2 linked regions of the Lepisosteus oculatus genome follow. The protein of the gene in region 1 interacts with the protein of each later gene in a biochemical or structural test. Links are inferred from orthologs where the notes say so. Each region holds a gene or a part of one and is shown in the gene's direction. Other genes may lie near its edges. The genes, in order: pkd1a and histone deacetylase 9.

The links.
Region 2: the proteins of pkd1a (region 1) and histone deacetylase 9 form a complex in vitro, tested with the Homo sapiens proteins (2 studies listed by BioGRID, with this or other methods). The link is inferred for Lepisosteus oculatus from reciprocal best matches to the Homo sapiens genes PKD1 and HDAC9.

Annotation. Positions count from the first base shown.
Region 1 is NC_090714.1:2,682,655-2,690,740, reverse strand, and holds the start of pkd1a (polycystin-1), read left to right. Parts: upstream 1-4,834; 5' UTR 4,835-5,056; coding exon 5,057-5,310; intron 5,311-8,086. UniProt on the Homo sapiens protein: Component of a heteromeric calcium-permeable ion channel formed by PKD1 and PKD2 that is activated by interaction between PKD1 and a Wnt family member, such as WNT3A and WNT9B. Both PKD1 and PKD2 are required for channel activity.
Region 2 is NC_090705.1:2,103,744-2,111,967, reverse strand, and holds the start of histone deacetylase 9, read left to right. Parts: upstream 1-4,875; 5' UTR 4,876-5,049; intron 5,050-8,224. Other genes in the region: snx13 (sorting nexin-13), read right to left, coding at 837-950. UniProt on the Homo sapiens protein: Responsible for the deacetylation of lysine residues on the N-terminal part of the core histones (H2A, H2B, H3 and H4).

The DNA of each region.
Region 1 (8,086 bases):
AACTCTGTCTCCTCAATCTCCTGGCTTGTTTTCTGCTTATTTCTATCTGGCACTGGATTTGGATCTGAACTTCGACTTTGAACACTGGATTTTCCCTGTGTCCCTAGCTGGCCACAGAACCATGTCTGCCTGTCTGCTCTGGTACACTACACTCATCTTTCTCAGTCAGCAACTAGCCTGCATCTCATTACCTGAGTATGCCCTCCTTGCTCAACCCCAGTCCAGTTTTCTATTCATCCAATACTTGGGTTCTTATTCATTCCAGAATATTGCTACAAGTTCCATTTCAACATAACTTGTGATCTTTAAACACAGTGATATCTGTCCCTGCATGGCATAAGCCACTCATGTCAGTCCAGGTCAAATCTGAATCAGTGTCGTGCACTGACCCATTATACATCCAGACAGTTATACTTAAGGACACTAGTGGAATGAGCTGGATTGAAGTACGGTATAACTGCATACTGGAGAGACGTCTCTGTGGTTGCTGTGAAAGAGGGTGTTATTACAAAGTATTTCATACTGCCAATTAGGCACCATGACAAATATCACATATAGCAAAATTCAACAGCTTGGTAATAGTCTGCAGTAGGCATGAGTCACACTTCCCTTCCGTAGCATGTTAATTGAATAATTATGTGAGGCACCTACTGTATGTCCTGAAAATAAAGAAAGACACAGACAGGGGAGGATAAACAAAAAACAGAGAAAGTGTCGCTTTATAATCCAAACACAGAGCTCTTTGTGCAGACCAGCTGAAATCCCAAAATGTGCTTCAGTGTTATTTTTTGGTACAAATAAAAGAATCAAAACCACGACAGAAGTTGGTGAAGTATGGAATTGGTGGCCACAATCCCAGAATGGAAACTGTCCAACACAAGCAAAACTACAGGCTGGCACTTGTGTGGCCACTGTAGATGTAGATACTGAAGTGTGTGGTGGTGTTGATTATGAAAAATACACACTTGCGCAGGTCAGAAAGATGTCCTATCATTGATTCACAAACTTGCCTCTGGCTTTTCAAAGCTTGACACATAACAGACAGGCTATACTAACAGAAATACAAGGATATTGAACTACTTGGCTCAGTTCACATTCCATAGACAATGTTCACTCTCAGTGTTTCTGAGTGTTCAATAAATGCACAATAAATTACACAGAAAGGATCCGTACATAAATCAGAATTTTATTATTGGTTTAAACTGTAGTAGGAAGGAGCAGCAGTAGTATTAACTGTTGAGGAGTGCAAGTAAATATTAATGAGTGTGCTTGCTTGGGGCACATTTTTTATTTAAAATCGTTTTTAAATACAGTACTGTAGGTAGACGATGTGATACTCAAAGCACTTCATGTCTTGTAGTCACTTTGCTTACTATTGATCTGTGATTGGTTAAGATATACTGTATATAAAGCCATACTGACCAGCTTTAAAAAAACTCCTATTATTAATTACAGATGACTCAGGATGCTCATTTTAAAAAAAAACGTAGATCAAGTGCCTTAAGAGAACCTGAATCCTGCAGGGTTTAGAGATGCTTTAAAACGAGCGATTGTTTATGACATGAAAAAGCAGTTTATTTGATCTTAGTCACATGCTTGTCCTCCAGCACTCCAGCCTATAGAACTGCCTACTCCTGGTGTGGATCGTCTGTACAGGACAGTCTGAGGAAGATGCTCCCCCTAGTGTTCAGTGTGTGTTTGAATGTAGCGTCTGTAAAAAAACTTCCATCCAAATGCAAAAACAAATGTCTGGTGTTATGTGTTACTCATATCCACATTAATACTGCAGGAGCCTTTCTTTGATTTCAAAGCACAACTCAAGGTTGAGAAATGATAACACAAAGATCAAACGGAGGCAAGATCTTCAACCTTGAGAGGTACATAGGGCAGATGAAAAATAATTATGAATCACTACATATCACAATAGAAACCGCAGCTTAAAGCACTCGTTTTTAGTTCGATGAATATGAATGTATTTGCATTCATGCAAGGAAGTCTGCATTAAATACGTAATTAACGTAATAAAGTACGTAATATACTTACTTTGTTTTCTTATCCATTCGTCCGTTTTCTAACTGCTTTTACAACACCGGGCGGCTGGGGATCCTGATAAGCAACTGGTGCGAAGCGGGGTACACCCTGGAAGGGACGCCAGTCCATCGCAGGACAGGCCCAGACAGAGACACGGTCACACTCGCACCCGGGCCGATTTCCCCAGAACCCACTTGACCTTACCACTATGTCCAGAATGTGGGAATCTTGAGCGCCTGGAGGAAAGCCATGCGGGACAAGGGGAGGACATACAGTACAAACTCCAGCCAGACAGGACTACGGGGCCAGAGCTGAACCCAGGGCCCCAACACTGGAGACAGCAACGCTCACCATCACGCCATCGTGCAGCTCCTTGTGTTCCTCTACAACAGCCAAATATCCCTGCCTGTCACACACCTATTAACAACAAATTGACATATGCTTACACAAGTACACTATTTCTTTGGTGGCTGTATTTCAAAAGAGTGTACATTTGTATTTGTCTTTTAAATTAACTTAAGTGCTGCATTCATGAGAGGAAGCACAGTTCGGTTACAGCTGCCTGCTTGCTGTCACATGGTCATTCCAGAATTGAGCTGGCAGCACAGTTTCCTCAATTCTGAGGGGGAGGAGCGAAAATAAAATGAATAACTTATTGAGGATTAATGCTTTGCAATGTCTTGTACAGTATACCATGTTCACACAACAATGAGCAAATCCCTTTTGTCTTATTTGTACTTTTCAGAGTCGTGTTTTTTTTTAGTGATTTGCTTAATTTGAAGTGTTTTTTTTTCTCCCTCTTTCGGAGTCAGCTTGTCAGGTATAACAATTAGTAAAGATAAAACCTTTGGGAGTGTGAAAGCAAACGGTTTCGAGGAGATGCGAGTCTTAGTGTTTTTTTTTTAATGAGAGAGTACCAATGGAACAGAACTAAAACAATGCACTCAATCACAGGGAGAAGGCTGGTGAACAAAAGACATTGGTAGAGCTATTCTCTTCCACGGTTTTATTGTATTCAATACTTATCTAGGTCAGGTAGTTGCTCATTCAGAAGACTGTTCAACCAATGAACCAAATGGGCCAAATACCCGCTAATTTACAGCCTTTCTTCTGTTCTTTATAAAGAAAAGTACTTATAGAATGGAAACAGCCACAGGAAAGTACCTCATTGATACTGGCACACACCAATGGTATTAAGAAGACTGATTTGTTTTGGGGTATAATAAGGATAATGGAACAGCAGGTTGCTTTTAGGATAATAGTATTTTGCACTTTCTGAGATGCTGAATGCTTCTGTCTGGTTAGGGAACACCGATTCTGAACAATTTAAAATTAGACTGTATTTGGCTTTGATCTATTTTCTTTTATGTTTGCTTTTCGTGTAAATTGTACCTTTCATCTCCTTAGCTGGAGAGCCAAATTGCAACTGAAATAAATAATAAGGAAAACCTCTGGAATTCTAAGGGATCATTTATAGAAGAAATTTGAAATTTGCTAAGTTGTTTTCCCCTGTCAAAACAAACATACTCTTCAACGTAGCTAAATTGTACACACTGTATTAAACTTTCTTTAAGCAATTTGGCTACAATAGCTTCAGTACTGTATGTATAGCCATGTTATTCAGACAGTGTAATGATATGCCTTACTGTTGGCAAGAGGCTTCTAATTTGAATTCAAGGCTGGCACCAAAATCTCTCATCAAAATACAATCTTTTACTATGAAAGTGCAAGATATGAGGGGTATATCCTAATATAAAATGCTATCTAGTCATCAAAGAACAAGCCAGAGATTTGAAATTCATGACCTGTCCTCCAGAGTCTTATTATAAATGAAGTATCTTGAATCCTACATACTTTAGAGAAGGTTTAGAGATAGGACTAAGTTTGGAATATTGTTTAATTCTGGATATTTAATACAATATCACAATCTCAACCATGAAAATATACAGTATATGCAAAGCATTAAAGACGGTGCAAGCTATCAGAACATTGAAGCTATACAAAACATCAGTCTATTTGGTTTAAGATGTTTATCCATTCAATATTTATATTTTCCCTTTACTTTTCGCCAGCTATGATGAAAATAAACTTCACTTTCTGTAAATGTTTTTGTTTGGACAATGAAAAACAGAATCCTACTACTGCCTGTCTGTAACAATGTATCTAAAAATAAGGATATTTAACATTTACTGTGTTAAAGACCTGGACTGATTAAGTGTATATTAAACTATTCTAAAAAGAAATATCAGTAACAATGTACGGTATATCCTTGTCATACTTCTTTAAAGTTAAACATTATTGTAAACTCTACATATTTATACGGACGTCTACATTTATTCGAGAAAAAGATCCCTCTTTTATTTCGTTTAGTTGTATAAAAAAATAATAGGAGCTTTCTGCATTGGATATACATTCTCAAACGGACTATTTTCAATAATAGAAAGGAATTACAACAAAGTAGCACAAATTGACGTGACCTTGTAACCAGGCATAACCAGACATTTTCGTTTTAAAAATAAGCGTACCCTGTATTAAAATTACTTAGTAGTTGCAAAACGATTTAATGTACAGTAGGTGCAGCTGCAGCTATTGATGTTTGTGTCTCCAAATAAAGGAGAAGAACGTTTTGATCTGATTTATTTTTACGCGCAGTTAATGGGCTACAATACAACAGCGTTCATACGGAACAAAATTATACAGCATCTCAGGGCTGAGGGATTATTCGTCTCGTTAGTGAACTCCCAAAACCTCAAGAAGTTTTCCCTGCAAGAAACCCTAGTGTTGAAAACATGGCATTGCAGAGTTCGAAAGCAAACAGAGAAGGAAGTTTCCTGAGAACTTAGCAGAGGAGTTTCAAAACTTTTTTTTTCCAGAGGAATTGGTACACTCAAATAAGGAAGGTTTTCGAATCGGGGGGGGAAGGAGGTTTCAATGATATTCATGCAAACAACCGAAAGAAGAAACTTTTCCCCCCAGTTCGACCGAGAGATTAGCAACCTCAGTGGCGATGCGATGTGAGTGAGCGATGCCTTGTGGAAATGGACAAACTGTATCCAAGCGAAAACATGGCGTCTGTTCCTCACTGTTCGGACTTTCCACCAGTCTACTGCTTTCCTTGTGTTTTGCTCTCACCTCGGGAATGGTGGACTCGGTCAACCATCACTGTCCCAAGAACTGTACATGTTCAGTTGTGGGACCACAAAGTGTCGTTAACTGCTCTAACACAGGGCTCGACCGGGTACCAGAAGCGACGGACATCCCGTACTACACCAGTATTCTGTAAGTAGCTGGGATTTACATCCCTAGCGGAAAATATCAGTTTCTGCTCTTTGCCTGTTTGTCCTTGATGTTGTTGTGTGATTTACAGTGTGTTTACCGGGGGGAACAACGTCTCAAAATATCATTTGAGCTTTTAGAGAAAATATTTGTATCCGAGTGGGAAACAAAATGCTTTAAAGTAACTTTAGTGACATACAGCATAACTAGTCTGATCCAATCTTGGGTATGAGACTGTTTTCATCTGGTGCTTGCCAACAGACTCTCGATTAGTTTAAAAGTTATTGTGCTGTGAACTAGAATGGCAGGAAAACAACCCCGTTATTGTTCTCTACTGAACGAAACAGTGTGAAATATTTTAAATTCCAAAGACTTTAGTAAAATATTTAATGAATCCTATAAAAAAACTTCATATTTAACCAAATGAAAAATATAAACATGGACACGGTGTGAGTAACTATTTTAAGATTAATATAGAAATATACAAACAGTATTTAAGATAAGCTGAATGTTAAAATACACCGCAAATATGTCAAATGTTTTAATTAGATACATTAAAAAATAAACATCGGAAATTTGTACCCTTGCTGTACTAATGTTTTCAGTGAAACTGGAAATCATTGACCGATATCTGAATGAAACAAATGGATTAAAGGTTTGCTGGTACAGATTAACCATGATCAGTGAACCTTTCAAGAAATTCACCACCAAGAAGCGCCTCGACTAACACAACTACAGTAGTCGGTTACTTCACAAAAAACACAGATATGCAAGTTATACACTAATGCATCATTTGATTTTGTTTTTAAGTAAGTTGCATTTTTGTATTGTGCGTTTGACAAAAAATAATAAAATGCGTTTGGGATTTGTGCTACGTTATGTTGTGGAAGACGAGGACATAAGCCTCGGTGTAAAAGGACGAGGACGCAGCGTAGTGTAAAAGACCTCTAAATACACCAGTCGTATAATACTTTCCTACAGTATGTAGTAGTACTATCAGCTTCAATAACGGCTTTTCAACGGGGCAGAACGACCCGATGAGTGCTGTTTGAGAATTATGATTGGTTTTATCTTGGTTCAGTGACTGGGGACTAGGTTCTGGAAGGATGCACAGAAAAGGTCCTTCACTTTAACCACGGCAAAAACACCCACTAGCCAGATTAAAGCGCTGCAAATTGAACGTGATTTGACAGTGCCTGATAAAAGGGTTTCAAACACCCAATCGAAACATTAGAGAGGTCTTTCTGTATGTCCCGAAAGACATCATCAAAACTTTAAAATTTAAAGAAATGGAGAGGTGTCTTGTTAAAATAGGATACATACCCCTATTTGTCTGTTTGGTCAAACAATAGGTCTGTTTTGGACACGCCTTCAGCTCTGCAGTGATGGAACAATCAACTCATCGCAATGTAGTGTAGTTAAAAACGTAATTCTGTAAAATGCCACATGTGAAACTTCACCTGCATGCAGAGGTATGCCGTGTCTAGAACCAAGAGCATCCCTTTGTCGCACAAGAACAGAAAAGAACCGTGCACGTTGCTTGTTCATGATGCTTATACTGTAATATCAGGCTGGGGTGCATGCATAAAAACTGAATGGTATTGTATATGCAAAGGCTGTTGAGATGGGAGACGTTATAAAAAACAACAAAAGAGTCTTGGAAACAATACAGCTGTGTGAGTGTGGAACAAGCTACCCAGTTCTGCTGTTGAAGCCGATACCTTGACTTTTTTTCAAGAAACAGCGGGAGGACATCCCTGGATCAGTTCGAATACTATCAAATGGACTAGATCGACTGGATGGCCACCTCTTGTTTGCAACCTTTCTCATGTTCTGAATAGCGTGTTCTATTTTTAGTGCCTCTCAGTAAATATACGGTAAACAGATGAAGTTATACAGCAGGGGTCTCCAGTCATGGTCCTGATCCAGCTAGTCTTACAGGTCCTCTGGTTTCAGAGACTGGCATCATTTATAAATTATTGATGAGTCAAGCAAGTTATCGATTCAATTAAGACCACTCATGTCCTCGAGGGTTAAAGATTACTTCGATTTTAATCCTAAGTGACCTCTAAATTACTTAATTTAACAAACCTCATGATTAATTAAACACACTTGAATTGGTCCATGTCTTTAGAAATTGGTGATTTAATGATGGCCTGCAAAAGCTATTGGATTAAGGCTCTGTAGCACCAGTTGGGTTGGGTAAAAGTGCAAAACTGTTATACAAAAAGTTGATTGTATTTGCAAAATACATTCCATGCTATTTCAGTACCTGGCAGGTGCCGAATATTGTCTTAGCAGCTCTAAGAATGGTATTTTGTTCTTTAAATTAATCTAAAAATATTTTTTTCTTAAAATAATATCATTATAATTAGCTTAATTACTTAAGACAATTATTTGTTTTAGCTTCTGAAACGTTTGTTTCAAAAACTTTAATAATACTGAATTACAATTTATAACGTGCTTCATCCCAAAGCATTTCACTGGTAAAAGGACCCACTTCAAATGTAGCTTTTCTGCACCAGGGGCCCCATAACACTGCAGACCGGTCAGAGAAGTGAGAAATGGCTTCACCCGTTGAATAAAGGGGGACATTTTAGAGAGACCAGGTTGTGCAAGTTGAGACTAAATTATAGCCAGGATCCCTGCTTTTACAATCCCTACAACGACTGCAACAACTGAGTAGTCAAGACCTCAGTTCAACATCTCGTCCGGACGACTGCAGATCCAACAGTCCCTATTTACCACACTGGGATGTTGGTTCGTAAATTCTGGCCCA
Region 2 (8,224 bases), on another chromosome or scaffold:
CCTCATGCAAAACAATGAATTTTTATTAGATTAATCGACAGCCTCACTTATTTTCCACTAGGGTGTTTCTCTGCAGCTCAAAGGTAAACACATACAGTATAATGTACTCTGAAACAGTCACAGATCTTGAGACAGCCTGTTACACCATCCTTTATTTGAATAAAGGCTACTAGAAGAACAATGACGTACTGTAGGTATGGGATTATTTTTAATCCATTCTCTACTGAAATTCTGAAAAGTTTAAAGTTTGTGGTTTGTCTTGGGATACCTGCCTCTTGAGCAATGCAAGTTAACCAACAGGTTCTCAAAACCTCTAAATTCCTTGTGTTTGTTAGTGACACTCTCCTTAGTGACAGCAGTAAAACTGAACGGTACACTATTTATTTTGGTTACACCACTTTGCACTCTGTAATTTTAAATAAATGTATTTTGTAAATTGTTGTCAATTCTGTTGAAAAGCATCCATAGAACCAAAAGTGCTTTTTGCACAGCATAGCTGTGGTAAATGTAAATTAACTAAGGCACTGTGCGTTTGTCACATTTGGATGGATTTTAAACACCAGTTCAAAGAGCATGACTCCTTCAGTAAAAATAACATGTAATCATGGCACATATTTTCATTCAGATGAACATACAGTAAGTGAATTACAGTTTACCTATACAGTACATGTGACCTGTTTCTTCACAAATGTATAAAATCATCTTTCATAGAATTAATTTTGTTTCATAAACAACGTTCTTACTAAAAAGGTAGACAAAGCACCAGCTGCAAACACAGAGGCTGCAGTCCTTCAGTTTTTGGAGAAGCTATTTTTAGAAATACTTCAGTACGGTACCTGTCGCCAGCAAAACGAGCTTCCAGTGAAGTCCCAAACAAGGTAAGGCTGGAGGAAAACGCAGTCCCAAGGCCTGCTTGATTTGTCATGTACCATGCGTGCAAGATTTTCCATTCTGGAAAGCAGTGCTGCTCTTCAACAGGACTTTAATTGGGTCCCAGTGTTCGTTGTTTATACATTTCCACCTTTATGACAGACTTGCCGTCTGTGTTTAACGAGCAGCTCGGAGGATAAAAAGCTCTGGCTTGTTTCGTACATGGCAGCAGCCCAATCTTCGAAACAGACACCAGATTTTCCAGGTCGCACTTCCTTACACGTATCTATTGCAAGACGTTGTACTTTGCCCCTACAGGGTTTCAATTATTTGGGATAGTACTTTTTATTTACAAAGGCCCTGATAAAAGAACTTTTGCTTTCTAGTTCAGTCCTACCAGCCACTGCTGCTTTATAACTGTACACTTGTGCTGTAAAACTTTCAGCCACACGTTCTGCAGCTAATAACACACACAAGTGAAAGTGTTGACACAGAAAAGGTCGGCATTTTATTTCCTAGAACTAGTTTTAAAATACAATTGGGTTTTTTTATAATCTGATGATCCATTTCTCTATTATAAAGGCTATTTTCTATCTTTTCAGTGCAACTTCTTTAATCTTTGCAACTGTTGCAAATACGTTTTAGTGGAAAACTAAGTAGCTACTCTTAGGGTAAGAATAAGAAGCTCTCTTGCAGTAACAATCCAAATATCAGAGCAGGTGCTGCCTTCCCCAGCTATTCGGTGGCTCTGTGGCTCAGGATCTGCGCCTGTGACTGGAAGGTTGCCGGTTCAAATCCCACGGCTGGCAGAGGAATCCTACTCCGTTGGGCCCCTGAGCAAGGCCCTTAACCCCCAACTGCTCCAGGAGTGCTGTACAATGGCAGACCCTGTGCTCTGACCCCCAGCTTCTCTCCCTGTCTGTGTGTCTGTGTCTCCATGGAGAAAAGCTGGGGTATGTGAAAAGATGAATTCCTAATGCAAGAAATTGTATAGGGCTAATAAAGAAACATAATTACAACATTATTCCTGACAGATTTGTGGATATGATAAAAGCAAAAATATGCTAAAATGTTAAATGTGCTTACGGGTTAAAAGCATCATAGAGATACCACACAAGGAAGGTAAAGTGTATTGTGGTTCCAGGAAGGTCTACAGTAAGTCCCACAAGGTGACTGCACTGTGACGCACTCTGTCCTGTCCAACCCAATTCTGATTTTCTGCTTTTGGAATGAAAGTTTAATGCAGCTGGTGTCAGGATATTCAGTGTACTGCTTTCTGAGCACTTGTCACAAGACACCTTACCTTTACTCTTGTTTTACAATGCAATAGGTTAAAAAAGCCCAGCCACACAGGGGATATCAGATAACAGGATACAGTTTTTTAAGTCTCCTCTAGGTGCAATCTAAAACAAAAGTATATACTGTAGTTGACTATATAAAGACATTGGGGACGGAAACTGTATTTTTTAATGGGTTATTACTTGTGCATTTACAAATTTAGATCCAATAGAACAATTTTATCTCATAGCAAGATAAATTGTATTTACAGTATATATATTTTTATGCAGAGAATGAAGAGTTTCAAAGCAGCCAGTCTTGAGAAATTAGCAATCCAGCTAAAATGTCATTTATCTGAAAATCTGCATTACAAAGTCAAACAAAGAACCACTCATGCTAAAAGTCAAATTTACTTTTTTTTCTGAGTGTTGTCTTCAAACCACATGGAGTTGTGAATATTGTACAAATGACTCATCTTATTTTAAAACACAGTAAAGATGAAATCTAAACCTTTTTCCTAACTGATGATGACAATTCAGAACCCAGAACTTGAGAGTGGCTCTCTGTTTTAGGTGTATTCTCTATACAACAGATCAAGTACTTGCTATTCTATCATACTGTGACCAGTATGTATATTAATCTCATTAGATCTTTGCTGATTCATAATGGTTCCTACTGGAAAGGTCTGCAGTAAGAGAGAACTTTTGGGATGGCAGGCCAATTTACGCAATTAATATTAAAAAATAATAATATTCTGGTGCCATTTCGAAGACAGTGAAAGTACCACTTTTGCATGATGTGTTTGATGTGCAAAAATGAGAAATTTTAAGTGGAGCTCCACTTGCTAATATGAGCTACATACGTATGTGCAGGTAGTTCAGGCGGGGAGCTGCGTCAGCATGCGTAGGCTGCAGAAGAACAAGTAACACTTGAAGAAGGCACCACAGCCGAAATGTTGCGTTTTCTGTCTTCTCATTTCAGCAGGAATACACCTATTATTTGTTCCTACTGTATATGTTCATGTATTCCTCAAAGGCATTGACACTTTGGAAACACCTTTATGAAAATGCTTCTTAAAAACTTCATGCATGTCTTTCTCACCATCATTGTATTATTGTCTCTTGTGTTGTTCATATACTAGTTTTTGTTTTTGTTGTTTTTTTGGGAGGTCTGTTTAGGATCATTCTTTCAAGGAAACTATTAGTATGAGTTTCCTCTCTAAATACCTTATTACATTTTGTGTTTTTTATATAATTCTATATTTATTTGATCTGTTGTGATCAAGATTCTACTGGTATGACAGATACAGTGCTGTCTTTGTTGATTTAAAATGGAAAAGGTCTTCAGAATCATGTTTGCATGAAAGAGCATTTGATGAATATTATGTTTTTCATGTGGTTTGCGGTAAATCTTCATCAAGTAACTGAAAATTATTTATTTAATAGCCACAAAAACACCACTCTGCATAAACTAACAGCTAATTTAAATAGTTAAATCAGCATACAATTTCAACTCATTGTTTTCACTTCCTTAAGATGTTTCTGTAACTATCCAGGACTACTGTGCATACTGTATGGCTATAGCAGTGACTGTCATGATGCTTTTCCCCAAAAATGAAATATTCATTTAAAATGATTTATGTGGCTTATAGGAAAAAAAATAATTGATTTGCTATATGAAGAACACACACATTCCTAACTGGTTGGTTAGACACAAGGCATTTGTATTTGAAAAGTAATTGTTTCTGCTTTTTTATTCTTCATAAATTAGCAGTGCATGATGGTCTCCATTAATTAAAATGAAAATAACATTTTGGGTAATCGAGTAAAAAAGTGCCCAAGGGGTCCTTTTCATTATTATTCTCAGAAAAAAATGGTTCTGTCCAGCCCCTAAGAGAGTTGTTTAATGAAATCTCACAAGCTGTGATTACTTTAACAAAACTTAAGACCATCTGCTAATGACCAGCAGGAAGCTAGACTTCAGAGGGTTTTTATTAACACAGACACAGTTAAAAATATGTAAAAGGTGTCTGCTCCTTAAAGATATCATATTTATTACGTTTGTACCTTCGGGGTTTTAATATAAAATTATGGAAATCAGGAAAGTATATATATATAATTATATAATATATATCCTCTTTTAATATATTATGATATGAGGTGCACAAAACAAAGTTTGAAAACTAAACTTGGTAATAAGTCAGTTGATATCTATGGACACTTTGCTAATAATTTGAAATTAATTATATAAAGAGGCATGAAACTTAAAAGTGAAAAAAAACATTTATCTTTAGGAAAAACCTATTATGGGTTTTAGCAAAAAAAATCAACTTAAGGAAAAAAAAACTAAATTCTAGCGATTTTTAGAAAGGAACCTTTTTTAAAAAAAAAGATGAGTTGAGGCCAAACTCACAGTTAATTGCAAGACAACCTATTTGCAAAGTGCGCACAGAAATATATCATAATAAATCATTATTCTCTATCTACTGTAGTTACAGCAGACAAGGTTATAAATACATATTGATTCAAAAGGCATTTTTTCTCTTGGGGCGCAAAGTAGTTTTAAAATCACAATAAAAAACAACAGAAGTGTTTTAAGAACTAGTGCGATAAACAGCGTTTATCGTGCCTTAATTTTCCCTCATTGTGTGAATGATCCTCGTTGTTAGCTCCAGCAATCTCGCCTGCTTTCTACTGTGTTGCTATTTATAGTAGATCCTACTTGTGTCGCCACAGGCTCTGATCGCATCTCTCTGCCACTGCAATTTGAAAACACTGCTCTCAGCCTGTCTCCTTGCTCTCCGGGAAGGCACGATATCCAAGATCACATCCAGATTAAAAACTGTACCTTAATACTGGAACCTTTCGCGTTTTGATCTTTTTCCCCCTGCAGAAATACCAGGTAAGAAAATGATGTAATTCTGTTCTATAAATAGCAAGGGGATAGGACAACCGCGAGCAACGCGTTTTGCTGTGTTTAGTTAACTGTGACTTCTTTGCAGTTTGTAATTAGCACAATTTCCAAGTGATTGGCCCCTGAGCCTTATGCTCGCCAATTTTAGCTTGTTGAAAACTTGTTCTTGTTTTCCCCCATGCGACTGAAGCGTTTTATGGTCGCTTTCATTTGTGTTATAAAATGATTTTAGCCATTAGTTAATCCAAGGAAACCAAAATAACTAAAGAGCATGAATAATTAAGTCGTGCCTCATAGGCGACACGACAAGATGAGACCAGTTTAATAAGCAAACGGCTTAAATGATGCCAAGTTGTGACATATATCGCACAGAGGTGTTAATCAGGTTCCTAATCAGTTCGTGATGGAAGAACTTAAATCAATTACACAATATAGTGTACATCCCAATGTTAAATATCAACATGCGCAGAACATTAGGACAATTTTGTTGGTATGGGAGCTGTCGTATACATTATTGTAAGATGTACACTTCTTCTAAATTGATGCCATAATGTTTAAAAAGACATCTTTAATTGTTATGGATTATAATAACGTTTATTTTATTTCGGTGTTTATTTAAACACCGTTTAAGGCGGCAACATCGCGGTGCACATGAAAGGCATAAATTTCCCGTTCCTGATCTGCATAAAATGATGCCATTTCTGGACTATAAATAGAACTCATTAACATTTAGCAAACAACTGATCACCCAAGACGTGAGTGACATACGAATGTATGACAGACTTCAATCTGTTAATTGGTTGAGCATTTGACGCACATAAAGCATAAAACATTTTTGCTGGCTTGTTGACCACGCACAACATGCTCTGAGACGCTGTTCAGAGCGAAACCGGGAGCGGGTTAAATTCAGGAAGTAAAGCACCCACCAGATCTTAAACGCCACACCCAACTGTTTGAAGGAGACACAAGAGGATTCTGTAAGAAAGGTAACCTCAGGTGCGGTCTGGGTTTTTGCCATTTTCAGGTGGGCTTCATTTTCAATCTTACCTTGGACATACTGTACAGTACTGTACTATTAGGCTCCCAAGCAGTGTTCTGAATGTTTTTTTTTGTCCAGAGACTGGGCAACTGAGCAAATGAATGGTGGTCCTGCGTCAACCAAGATCTGTGCCTTAAAACCGTGATAATTCTCCCCTCTGACCCAGGACCTCAGCTTGCCATGCGTTCTTGTGCAGACTGCTCCTGTTGAATGCCTACTTGACTCCAATTAACTCCGTAGCTATCATTCTAGTGACCGTAGAGTTGTCATGTGATGAAGTGGTGTGAGCTGCTCCAAATGACCGAAACAATCACCATGTTTTTTTTTTTCAAAATGCAAACTTCCAGTGATGAGCTATGATACTAATTGACTTGAAACTTGGCAGGTTTCATCGCAACCAGAACTGCCTCAGTCTTGTATCCCACAGGTTGCCTTACGTGCTCGTGCCCTGTTCCACTGACTGCTCTGCTTCACAAATTGTTTAGCCAGTGAACGTCCGATTTAGTGCACTCACGGTTCTGTCAGCCTGTCAAGGTCAATACAGGGGCAGAGGCGTAGTTGGGCAAAGCAATAGATTTGCTGCTCCTTCAGGAACTTAAGTTTTTGTCCTGAAGCTGAACTTGCCAAACCGTGAGTCTGAGAAATTTTATTATCTGTGCATTATTAATACTAGTAGTAGCGTTTCCCCCAGTAATTATCTACCGGAATTTCTTTGTTATCTCTCTCTGTTATTAAAATTCTCAATATATTACAGCTTAACTAATCTCAATTACAATTTGGTTAGACTTCGGTGTAATTTAAATAGGTTATTCGACAAGGTATCCTTATTATACCTTTTAACCCCAAAAAGCTATAATAATCTGTAATTATTGTACTTGGTAAAGGTTTATGCCTGATACAGTATGTATGGATTCCCTTAAAGAAGGATGTCGAGCTTTTTCAGTCATCCAGCATAATGGTTTTATGACTAACTTCTGCCTCATTTCTTTTATTTCTTTAAACTCGGGTTTGTAAAACTCTTGGTAACAACATTCCCTGACAGATCTGGGCTTTTCTGGCCTGGTATCTGGGTGTTCACCGCCACATTATGGATTCACTCAGAGTTTGGGGAACAACGATATTATCATATCTTGTGATATGTTTCTGCACAATTTTAAATTTTAAGATTTGGATATAACATGAGCTGAAATGCAACGTTTCAAAATAGTGTCTTTTTTTTTCTTCAGAATCTTTCTCTAATATTCTCACGTTTCTATCTGACTGCTGCAGATCTCCCTTTACTTTGGACATTCTAAATCTTGTTCGTGTCAAGTCCTTTTCATATTTGGACCACCTGTTTTGTGTAACTGCTAAAAAATTAAAGCACTTTGCTTTGAAGCATGTTTTGTCTATCATCCACTGGCTCATTTAAAAATGCCCCTCCTTTGATCATTTATTATGATTTGCTTTACATGTCACCGGTCTGTTGTACAGCATGTGTGCTACAGTGCATCCTCACCCTGAGAATGGCTCTATTAATTAAGATATCCAACTGCACGGCAGTGTCCAACTGTACTGTCTTTAAAATGCTGCCAATCTTTTGTTTGGACTGGTCTTTAGCAAAGAGGGTATAGTACGCTGCCTTCTTTAACATCTCAGCTTACTGGCCATGCCTGTCCCAGACATAGTGGCATACTGAAAGAGAACTACAGGGCATGTCACATTTCCTTGTGACTATTGTGAAACGGATTTCCAAGCCCCGGACAAGAGTGGTTAAAAATGTCACATGTCACGGGATGTGTCCTTTCTCACACGTCCATTTACATTAGTGTTACAAGTACGATAAACATTTATTACTGAACAAGGCTACAATAAGGCGGTGTAACTTGTATATTGTGTGCAACATCTAAAATATTGCGATGTGCATTTTTAAGCAGCTTTGTTGGGCTAAGCAGCTGTGGAAAACTGTTGAGTGAAATGGAGTTTTTTTTTAACCCAATCCCAACCCCCTTGTTCTAGATCGACAACAGGACCTTGAGCTTTCCGGTGTTTTGACCTCGTACAATCAAGATGTGTTTAGTGGTTAAAGAATTTGTGGAATGTTAGTAGTCAGAATCGTATGTACAGTATATAATCAATTTGAAT